Linked DNA regions of Stegostoma tigrinum. The protein of the gene in region 2 purifies or fractionates together with the protein of the main gene of each other region. This does not show direct contact. Links are inferred from orthologs where the notes say so. Each region holds a gene or a part of one and is shown on either strand. Other genes may lie near its edges. The genes, in order: rpp30, rpp40 and ribonuclease P protein subunit p25-like protein.

What was found.
Region 1: the proteins of rpp40 (region 2) and rpp30 purify together in Homo sapiens (affinity purification with mass spectrometry; 3 studies listed by BioGRID and IntAct, counting the BioPlex papers as one, with this or other methods). This does not show direct contact. The link is inferred for Stegostoma tigrinum from reciprocal best matches to the Homo sapiens genes RPP40 and RPP30.
Region 3: the proteins of rpp40 (region 2) and ribonuclease P protein subunit p25-like protein purify together in Homo sapiens (affinity purification with mass spectrometry; 3 studies listed by BioGRID and IntAct, counting the BioPlex papers as one, with this or other methods). This does not show direct contact. The link is inferred for Stegostoma tigrinum from reciprocal best matches to the Homo sapiens genes RPP40 and RPP25.

Annotation. Positions count from the first base shown.
Region 1 is NC_081373.1:44,335,159-44,338,909, forward strand, and holds the start of rpp30 (ribonuclease P protein subunit p30), read right to left. Parts: upstream 2,611-3,751; 5' UTR 2,553-2,610; exon of another isoform or gene 2,378-2,552; 5' UTR 2,206-2,377; coding exon 2,124-2,205; intron 1-2,123. UniProt on the Homo sapiens protein: Component of ribonuclease P, a ribonucleoprotein complex that generates mature tRNA molecules by cleaving their 5'-ends. Also a component of the MRP ribonuclease complex, which cleaves pre-rRNA sequences.
Region 2 is NC_081355.1:11,664,415-11,668,165, reverse strand, and holds the start of rpp40 (ribonuclease P protein subunit p40), read right to left. Parts: upstream 2,669-3,751; 5' UTR 2,515-2,668; coding exon 2,398-2,514; intron 1-2,397. UniProt on the Homo sapiens protein: Component of ribonuclease P, a ribonucleoprotein complex that generates mature tRNA molecules by cleaving their 5'-ends. Also a component of the MRP ribonuclease complex, which cleaves pre-rRNA sequences.
Region 3 is NC_081389.1:16,614,043-16,617,793, forward strand, and holds the start of ribonuclease P protein subunit p25-like protein, read right to left. Parts: upstream 2,226-3,751; 5' UTR 1,203-2,225; coding exon 543-1,202; 3' UTR 1-542. UniProt on the Homo sapiens protein: Component of ribonuclease P, a ribonucleoprotein complex that generates mature tRNA molecules by cleaving their 5'-ends. Also a component of the MRP ribonuclease complex, which cleaves pre-rRNA sequences.

The DNA.
Region 1 (3,751 bases), on a different chromosome or scaffold from region 2:
CTTCTGAGCAGCTGTGTTGAACTTTTTAGCCCAACAAATGATTAAAATTGATCTAGGGAGAACTGGACATCAAAAGACTTTTTTGTTGCATTCTTTCACAGGACATGTGGGATGGCAGTAGTCCCAGCATTTGCAGTGGAGTCGGTGGTATTTTCAATCATTGCAGTCCTTCTGGTGAGGGTGCACCCAGTGTTGTTAGGGATTTTAGCCCTGTAACAGTGAAGCAGCAGTGATGTAGTTCCAAGTCAGGATGGTGTATAACTCGCATGAAAACTTGCAGGTTGCATTCTGATAATTCTACTGCCTTCGCTGTCGTCCTTTATATGGTATGCATCGCTACCACTGCACCCTAGTGGATGGGGTTGACTATTCAAATTGGCTGATAAGTAAATAGGCTGTTTTTTTTCCTGCATAGTAGGCATGCTTCTTGAATGTAGTTGGAACTGGGTTTATCCAGGCCAGCAGACAGCATTTCAGCAGAGTCCTCAGCAGTGTCTTGCAGATTGCCACTAGGCTTTGGGAAGTCAGGAAGTAGGTTACTCACTGCAGGAATCCCTATTTTCCAACTTTCTCTTTCAGCCATCCATATTAGTTATATGTCTGATCCAGCTGAATTTCTGGTCAATGGATGTTGATGCTGGGAGTTCTAACAATGGTATCATCATTGAATGTCATGGAGACACAATTGGATTCTTCTGTTTGAAAAAGTTGATACCTGGCACTTATGTTGCTTGCCACTCATCAGCCAGGCCCAAATGTTATCCACACTTAGCTGCAGATGGCATCAGGGAGCAGGACAAAAAAATGCAAGAAGTGGGACCAATAAGGAATATGAGAAATTGGTGCATAAGCAGTTGCAAGAAGAAAGAGAGATGCAAAGTGCAAAGCCTCCAGTACCAATCAGGCATGAGCTTTCATGCCACAATGATTATAAACTTAAGAAAATCCATAGTCATCGCAAAGACTACAGTCTGATATGGGAGCATATTACTGGAATGTTTGTGACTAAAGGATTCAATCAACTTACTGGATCACATCAATGGTAAAAAACACCAAAAGAATGTGGGGACATCAATAAAGGTTGAATGCTCTACTCTGGACCAAGTAAAGAAATGTTTTGGGACTAATTAAAAAAAAAGAACTGATTCAGTATATGAGAAGTCAAAGATGGTAATGAATCTCCAATCAAGAAACATCCCTATTCTGAACTCATATTGGTGAAGCATCTGAAAATAATTGGGTTTAGGTCTCTGCACATAGCAGTCAGGGGTCTTCTGGTGCAGTGGTAGTATCTCTACCTTGGACCAGGAGGCCTGGGTTCAAGTTCCACCGGTTTTAGAGGTGTGCAATAACTCCTTTGAAAAGGTTGATTAGAAAATTCGGTTTATTAATACTCTTAGGAACAGTTAGGGATCTGGTGGCACAGTGGAAGCGCTCCTACTGTGGGGCAAGGATGCCTAAGTGGAAGCCCCACCTGCTTCGGAATATGTCTGAACAGGTGATTTTCCAATTTCTACCCCGAGGAAATCCCACAGCAATCTCCCAGGACTGAGATGGCTGGCCTAGAAACACTTCAATCATTTCTGTTAATAAAATGTGAGGCTGGATGACCACAACAGGCCCAGCAGCATCTCAGGAGCACAAAAGCTGACGTTTCGGGCCTAGACCTGATGAAGGGTCTAGGCCCGAAACGTCAGCTTTTGTGCTCCTGAGATGCTGCTGGGCCTGCTGTGTTCATCCAGCCTCACATTTTATTATCTTGGATTCTCCAGCATCTGCAGTTCCCATTATCACTGAATCGTTTGTGTTAGACATGTCTTGAAATAGTAGAGTTTTCGTTCTGATTCGCATTGACTCTGATTTTGCTGTGTCTGAAGAACAGCGCTGTGTACGAAATTTGATAATGACAATAATTTCCAGGTTGGGAATCACCATTAAAACTAAATCCTACGCAGTTCATTCAATGCGGTTTGTCAGTCGCCCGAAAAGAATAAAATAATTATTTCACATGACAAGAGAACATTTAAAAAACATTAATTAAATCCACTCTCAGACATTCAAAGAGTGAAACTGTAACGTGCTTTAAGACATTGCAACGTGATTTAAGAAGAAACAACACTCACGGTGTGCCGCTGTTTCTATTAGACTTTGCAATCTCTTTCTGTCCGTAGTGTTGACGATGTTTAAATCTACAAAAGGCGCCATGCTTTCACAACGTGAGGGGAAACGTTTGCTCTTCCTGGGCTGGAAAGGTCAATGTTTTCGCCCGCAGCACTTCGCCTAAAGGCACCGTCTACTGTCGATCCCACTTTAAATCAAAGACAAACTCGAAAAAGAACAGAAAATGCTGGCAAAGCTCGGTTATGCTGTGCAACATCTGTGAAGAGACAGAAACAGAGTTCAAGGTTCTGGACGGCGACCTTGCGTCAAAGCAAAGTCATGCTGAACTGGATCGTCATACTATGATTCCCAGGCTCATATCCGCATCCCATCCGATTAGCATCCTTACAAATAAGGACACAAAGCATTTTCTCCTCATCTTATCACCTTACCACGATCTTCCAAGAACCACACGACCGCTGCGCAGCTGCACTACCCACTACCCGTGATGCTCCGGGAAGCTGGCAGCTCGCTATTGGTGGGATTTAAAAACCAGAGCGCGCGGCAGGAACGTTAGTTGGGAGCGCGCGGCAGGCAAGCGGCTATTGGAGCCACTAGGTTCAATCTGTGATTTATAACTGAGTTCTGGCGGTCAGTGTTTGTCTGTATGACAGCGATCACAACTAAGTTCTGGTGATCTACATATGTGCATGTGAAAGGGATCATAGTCCCAGCCCTGATGCTTTTGTCTGTCGAAGAGAGAACATAACTGAGTGCTAGTGGTCGATATACGAAAATTAGGCCGGTCACTTCGTACCTGGTCTGTGCTCGCTCCTGAACAAGTGCCAGTCTGCATCAGAGGGTTCCGGTCTTCATAGACCAGGTAAGTCCGCTGTTGGTGTTCTCCCGTCCCGGTGAACAGAGTGCACTCTGCTCTGTCCATGGACACTGACGAATTTAAGACATAATAGCGTTCTACTCTGAACTCTTCTAGTAAACTGGCAAAGTTGTTGATTAGGGTGGACCTAAAGGATTTTGTGAATCGGACAAGATCCGGAAGATGTCCGTGCACTTGTCTAATGTTACATTCTCGACCAACATCGTTGAAAACCTTTTGATATACATTTGAAGGGGGTGACTTCCCACAACTCGTGCGAGTGTTCCGGAGACTATTCTCTCCATTCCGTACATTGGTCTGGTCCTTTCTCCCTTTGGTGTTTTATCAAGCTTTCCTCTAAAGGGCATCACTGCTCGTTGCATGGACTTTTTGTGGTGGCAAGTTCTACGTTTCCAGCATCCTGTCGGTGAAATGTTTTGGAGATCTGAAGTGAAGAGGAAGTCTTGAGTAATGTCAGTGACCCTACGATTGTGACAAGTAATCGGACAAATCCAACTGTGAAAATTAGAGTAATCTCCCAGCTGTCCATTGAAGGAGTGATCATTAGGAGAAACTGAACGGACTGATTACATTTATTAAACGCTTCTTCCATGAATCTGTGAGAAATTTGGCCATCAAGAGATATAGCTGAGAGGATAATCACAGCCTATGAGAAAATGGCTGATGCCAACCACTCAATATTTTTTCAACTTGACAATGGTCTTCAACTTTGTAAATTGTCAGGTATTCCAGAAGATTCTGCTGAAGTATAGT
Region 2 (3,751 bases):
TAAGAAGGCACGATCAAGTGGTAACCTCAGCCAATGTGGTAACTGAACATGTATTGTGTAATTCTGCATCGCAAATCAGCCAGCTAGCCAGCTGAGCTTACCACAAAGGACTCTCTTTTTCAACCTCTTCGGCCCATCTCAGGTGTGGTGACCCCCAGGTTAAACCACCACCAGTCATCTCTCTCTAACGACACAGCAGCCCTCTCATCCATTTGGACTATGGCATCTTTACCTTTTAAAAACTACAACAGTTGGCCATCAACCATTATAGCTTGTTGAAGATATTCATCTCTAAAACAAATAAAACCCTAAAAAAAGTTACACAAGGTTTGCCATTGCTTTCATATCAAAATCGTTGACTGTAAAAGCAAGACACTCAATGCAGCCAACTTAGCAAATGCATTACAACATTGAACCCCATTGAACAGGTGTTACTTGGAGCTTCTAATGATGTTGCTAAGTAATTCCCACTGGGGGCACTTACTATTCAATTGCTACCTTTAACATTTGTCATTTCTGAACATCAAAAACACACACAAACATGAAAAAATGCACAAACACAATGCCATTTTCGTTTACAGTGAATTTAACTGCTGACGGAAGTGGTTCTGAAATAGTAAAACAGCACAAGCATTCCAGCCCTGATTGCCCATTTCTTGTACTGTTCCATTCTGTTAAAAAGGTGGTATATAAATACAAATTCACTTGTTGCTGTTTCAGCCTTCAATATTATGGCACTAACAGAAAAGAGAGAAAGAGAGTTTCTATTTCGGGTCAAAGATATTTCTTTGGAGCTTCATTGGTCCAGACAACCTGGACTCTTTCCTACATAAAAAGGTTTAAAATAATCACGAAACCATACAGGAGACAATCCAAGTGAAGCATTGTTGGTAACTAACTAAAACACAATGGGCACCTCCATTTTTTCTACCATTTAGCTGAAGATTTATTAACTGTACCCCTGTCAAACACAGACGTGGGCAGTTATAGACTTAAAGTTATAGAGTTATACAGCACTGAAACAGACCCTTTAGTCCATGCCGACTATAATCCCAACTAAACTAGTCCCACTTGCCTGCACTTGGCCCATATCTCTCCAAGCATTTCTTATTCACATATTTATCTAAATATTTCTTAATCGTAACTATACCCACATCCACAATCTCCTCGGAAGTTCATTCAACACACGAACCACTCTCTGTGAAACAAAATTGCCCCTCATGTCTTTTTTAAATCCTTCTCCTCTCACCTTAAGAATGTGCCCCTAGTCCTGAAACCGCCCACCCTACAGAAAAGACACCTGCTATTCACCTTATCTACTCCCTTCATGATCTTATAAAACTCTTTAAATGTCACCTCTCAACCTTCTATGCCCCAGTGAGAAATGTATCCAGCCTCTCCTTACAACTCAAACCCTCCATTCTCAGCAACATTCTGGTAAATCTCTTTCGAACACTTTCCAGCTTAATAATATCCTTCCTATAACAGGGAGACCTGAACTGAACACAGTACTCTAGAAGAGCCTTCGCCAACATCCTGTACAACCTCAACATAACATCACAACTCCTATACTCACAGATCTAAGCAATGAATGCAATCAGAAATGAAGAGGGTCCCGACCCGAAACTTCAAACTTTCCTGCTCCTCTGATGCTGCTTGGCCTGCTGTGTTCATGCAGCTTCACACCATGTTATCTCAGATTCTCCAGGATCAGCAGTTCCTACTATCTCTGTAACAATTTTAACCCTGCTGCGAAACCTCTTCTAAGGATGCCTTCCTTAAAGAAGCTACTGTACTCTGTCCGAAACATTTCTGAAGCAGTTTCCCAACCAAAACGTCAAGTTTTCCTGTTCCTCTAGGGCTGCTTGGCCTGCTGTGTTCATCCAGCTTCACACCGTGTTATCTCCTATTTTAATTGTATAAGTTTTGTGTTTGTTTGTTTTACCAAAATACAATACATGCAGTTATCCAAATTAAACCCCATTTGACACTCTTCTGCCCATCGAATGAACTGATCAAGATCTCTTTGTAATTTTAGACAGCCTTCTTCAGTGTCGACTATACCACCAATCTTGGTTTCATCTGCAGCTTACTAGCCGTGCTTTCTATATTGTCATCTAAATGATTTATATAAATGATAAGCAGAAGTGGACCTAGCACCGATGTTCCGTTAGAATAAAAGGGAAAGTAATGAGTTCTCCGCTCCCTGTCAATTACCCACCTGGTAGTCATGGCGATCAGACTCCACCCCCTGTCAATCACCCATCAGATAAACATGGCGATTAATCTCCGCCCCCTGTCAATCACCCATCAAAGAAGCATGACGATTAGCCTCCGCCCACTGTCAATCTCCCACCAGGTAGTCATAAAGTTTTCCTGCCCCTGTCAATCACCCACCTGGTAGTTATAGTGATGAGCCTGCACGTGTTTATGGTGTTTTGATTTACTGTGCCTGAAGTTGGATCTTTCACTAACCACTAGGTGCCGCGCGCATTTCTCCACGTTGTGCAGCATCTTCCCAAACTGGGCCACAGCTCCTCGCGCCGTCCGCGAGGGCCGTTTACCGCTTCTCCCCTCGGCAACAGCTCCACGCGCCAGTTAACGACTTTCCCCACTCAGAACCTCTCCGCTTCTTCCCGTCGTCCGCGAGCTCTGGCGCTCCCTTTGGCGCCTCTGGAGAGGAGGGCAGAGTGCACCCTCTGCTGGTTGGAGGCCAAGGTGGAAGAAGAGCCGCGTTTGAATGTTCAGGGCCTGTCTCAAGTCAACACTCGCATTCCCAAAGTAAGAATTGAACCTTTTCATGATCAATGGGCTGAGCCCTGTTTTTCTTAAACAGTTTAGAACCCATTCATTTTCCAGCATGGTTATTGGTAGCAATCAGGACAAGGTACCGAGGTAATTGGCCAATTTTAGTCAAATGTATTCCCCAAGGATCAATCTATTCTGTCAGCTAACTGCTCCATCCTCCAGGCCTCCCCCTTTCTCTTCACTACCCAGTCGAATAATTCTCGACTGTCAGGACAAAGAGCCATTTGTTTCCCACCACCAATGTTTTTCTGACTCGTAAACAGAGGTGCCCGTGAAAAGATTGCCCACAGCCATGTCCTGGGGATGAATCTTCAGTTAGAAACGGGCGTGCTCCAGCATTTAATACAATTCAAACACTTGTCTGCCTTTCACCCACAGACTATTCTCAAAATCCTTCGCACCCCTGGTAGTTAGAAATCTATCAATCTCTACCTTAACCATAGTCAAAGACTGAGCTTCCACAGCATCAAAAAATTCCAGTAACAAACACAGTCACAATCACGGGGTGGCACGATGGCTCAATGTTTGGCACTGCTGCCTCACAGCACCAGGGTCCCGGGTTTGATTCCAGCCTCAGGCGACTGTCTGTGTGGAGTTTGCACATTCTCCCTGTGTCTGCGTGGGTTTCCTCCAAATGCCCACAGTCCAAAGATGTGCAGGCTAGGTGGGTTGGCCATGCTAAATTGCCCATAGCGTTCAGGGATGTGCAAAATCAGGGGGGTTACAGGGTGATGGGTCTGGTTGGAATGCTGTTTAGAGGAGTGGTATGGATGTGTTGGGCTGAATGTCCTGTTTCTGTACTGTAGGGATTCTATTGAATCATCTGAATAGAGTCAGAGAGATGTACAGCACAGAAACCGTCAGTCCAACTCATCCATGCCAACCAGATATCCTAAATTAATCTAGTATTGTTAGGCCCATATCCCTGTAAACCCTTCCTATT
Region 3 (3,751 bases), on a different chromosome or scaffold from region 2:
GGCCCATCATAGCAAAGTGATTTTTTAAACTGTTACAGATGCTCTGACACATCCTCAAGAGGTTGTCAAACATGAGCAAGGATGAGGGGGAGATTGTGGTCTAGGAGAGGAACACTACAGCTGCACCACAACAGGACCCCTCATGGCAAAGTGATCTTTTTTTCAATCTGTTCAGAGATGGTCTGACATACCCTCTAGAGCTGGTGGGACTCCAATAAGGATGGGGGAGGGGAGGGCACTGGTCTATGAGCAGGAACATTACCGCTGTACCACAACAGGTCCGCTCATGATGAGGTGATCTTTTTCCGACCTGTTCAGAGATGGTCTGACACACCCTCTGGAGCTGGTGGAACTCCAACAAGGATGGGGCTGGGGGTGGGTGGTGTTCACTGGTCTAGGACCAGGAACACTACCGCTGCACCACAACAGGACCCCTCATGGTGAAGTGACTTTTTAAAATATGAACCTGATCAGAGACGTTATATCACACACTCCCGGTGTAGGGGCAAGGGGCACTATCACTTGTGCCAGCGGTCTGTGTGTTACTGCTGGGGGTTCGGGAGGTAAGTGTAGCCGGGGAAAGAAGCGCCCTCACTGGCCTCTTCCCCTTTGCTGAGCTTCGGGACCGTCTCGCCCCCGCAGCAGCCGCCGCTACTGTCGCTCCCCCGGGAGCGGCGCTTGATGCCCCGGTTGACCGGGGTGAGACCTCGCTCCTCTTGCCCCGTTCGGACACCAGCGGCCGGCTCCGGCCACAGCGGCGGTCCGCAGTCCGGAGGCTGGTAGCCGGCTTCGGCCGGGTCCAAGGGCTCCTTGGATAGCAGGATGCAGACGGACGGAACGGTCTTGAGCAGGGTGAGGGCACCCGCACTGCCGGCGGTGCTGCTCTGCCAGGTCTCCCGCAGGCTCCTCGGACGGAGCTTGGTGATCTGGTGCAAACCTCCCAGCCTCCGCTTCATTATCTCGGCGCAGGTGATAGTCTTGGTGACCGCCCGGCCCGAACCGCTGAATACTATCCTCCGCGTCCCCTCCAGCTCCATGCGGGCCAGCGCGAAGCCCATCAGGTTGCGGATCTTGCTGCCCTCCTTCACCCGCATCTCCACCGTGTCCGCCGGCAGGTCAGCGAAAGGCAGGGGGCTCTCCTCCTCCGTCCGCCCGATCTTCCGATAGTTTGCCATCTCGCCACTTGCAGCGGAGCCCTGCATCTCTCTTTTGCAAATGTACTCTTAGACCATGCACCAACCCCCTGCCATTACCACTCACACCAAATTCCCAAAGTGTCTGACTTGGTTTTCTGGTTTGGAGTCAGGAAAACCATCCAAGTCCTTTAATTTTGTCCTCTTCGTTTGCAAAAAATACGCAAAATCTTTTCTCTGCTCTTCCTTTGCAAGAAAATTATTTTCGTCGTTTTCCTTTTGCAAAACTGGGCAAAGTCATTTTATTTTCCTCCTGTGCAAAGGCTGACAGTTTTTTTTCGTCGCTGTTTTGCAAAACTAGGCAAGGTTTTTCTTTGCTTTCCTCATTTGCAAAAACTGAAAGACTTTTTCAGTCGTTGATGTTTTGCAAAACTGCAAGATTGTCCCTTTGCAAAACTGGCCAAAATCCTACTATTTTCCTTCCTGTGCAAAAGCTGACAACTTGTTTTGTCGGTGTTTTGCAAAACTGGACTCGTTTGTTTTATTTTCCTCCGTTAGCAAAACTGAACAAAGTCCTTCTCTTTTCCTTCCTGTGCAGAAAACTGACAAGACTTTTTTTTGTCGTTGTTTTGCAAAACTGGGCAAAGTTGTTAATTCATTCCTTCGCAAAGATGGACTGTCTTTTTCTGTTCCTTTGCAAAACGGTGCAAAGGTCGCTTTCTAAACAAAAACTGGCAGCTTCTTTTTGCCGTTGGTTTGCAAAAAAACTGGCCAACGTTTTTTTTAAAGCAACGAACAATTTGGGCGAGATTAGTTTCACTCCATCATGCTCCAGGATAGGGGGGCAGCAACGGATTCAAACAGTCATGCAAGCTCCCTAATGTTTGTGTTTTGTACTTTGCGTCAGCTCCATCCATCAAGCTGCGGCCATCACTTACTTCCCGTTCTCCCCGCGACCCTCGGCTGCTCGTTCCTCAGCGAAATCTCCTCCCTCGACAGCCGGCCTGAGAGTAATCCAGGATGGGGCAATGCCTCCCCATTTCCAACGCGTCTTGTGTTTTAACCACTTTCAATTGCAAGGCGCGGTTAAGAATGGGGCGGGGGGGGGGGGGGGGACCGTTTCTCTCCTGATGCCAAGGCAAAACTGTTTGCAGCATCTGTACTGAACAGGGTGCAATCTCTCTCCCTCACTGTCCCTGTGACGAGATCCTGATTCACGGCGAATGAATGTCATTTATTTAACCCCTTCTGCACCAAGCTCCTCTCTGCGGCGTTTGCCTCATTCTATCTGCAGCACTTTGCGGTCCCAAGCAGTGACTGACAAGTATCTACCCGACAGGAGAAGGCTGTTCTGCCCCTTGACTGTGTGCTAGCTGAGTAAAAAATAAATCCCTCCCAGCAGAATTCCTTTTTTTTTCAAATTAGGGTTTCTGCCGCTATCACCCTTTCAGACAAGAGAGTTCCCTACCGCTCTCTGGGTGAAAAACGTACTGGAATGTAGGATGCTGAGGGGTTTATAAAATCAGGATGGGGTGAATAGCCAAGGTTTTTCCTCCAGGATTGGGGAGTTCAAAACTAGAGGGGCATAGGTTTAAGGTGACAGGGGAAAGATTTAAAAGGGACCCAAGGGGTGACTTTTTCACATAGAGGGTCGTGCATATATGGCATGAACTGCCCGAGGAAGTGATAGAGGCGGGTACAATAATAACATTTAAATAAAGATTGGACAGGTACATGAATAGGCAAGGTATTGAGGGATTATGGGCCGATGGGACTAGTTTATTTTGGGAAAACTGGTCAGCATGGACATGTTGGACCAAAGGGTCCCTTTCCGGTGCTGTATGACTCTAAGACTGTGTACTCATCAACTCCTCTCCGTCCTTCTTCCAATTACTTTAACCTGTGGATATTATTCATGGACACTATATTATGTGTGTTTTCAACATACTGAATGGATATCATGTGATATACATAGTAGATCATCCTCCTTCATCCTGACTTAGAAATATATCACTGCTCCTTCACTATTACTGAGTCAAAATCTTCCTAACAGCATAGTGGTGTGAAAGCAACACACCACCGTCTTCTGGAAGGCAGTTAGGGATAGGCAATAATGCTGGACCAGCTAGATCCACAAAGAACTAAAACAAAAACAGCAATGACAAGTAAATGGAATGGAGGTACAAAAGGCAACCCATTAAGCAGAATGTTAAATGCACAACATGGCCAATATTGAAATACGGCCACAATAAAACCTGAAAGAACTGCAGTAAATCAGAAACAAAAACAGAAGTTGCTGGAAAGGCTCAGCAGGTCTGGCAGCGTCTGTGGAGAGAAGTCAGAGTTAACGTTTCAGGTTGAGTGACCCTTTCTCAGTTCTGAACTATATGGGCTTTCCTTCACTATTACTGGGTCAAAAGCCTAATCAATATGGACAGTAGTAGATCGAGGAAGTGGCAGCTGAAATATAGAGGACACTTGCCTCAGAGAACAAGCTAGGAGGGCTGTTACACAGCTCTCACCAAAGAATGGACTCCCCTATTGTTTCCATCTATCCATAGAAGCATTTACAGGCTCATACCTGACCTGTTTGATCATTAGATACCCATTGACTATGG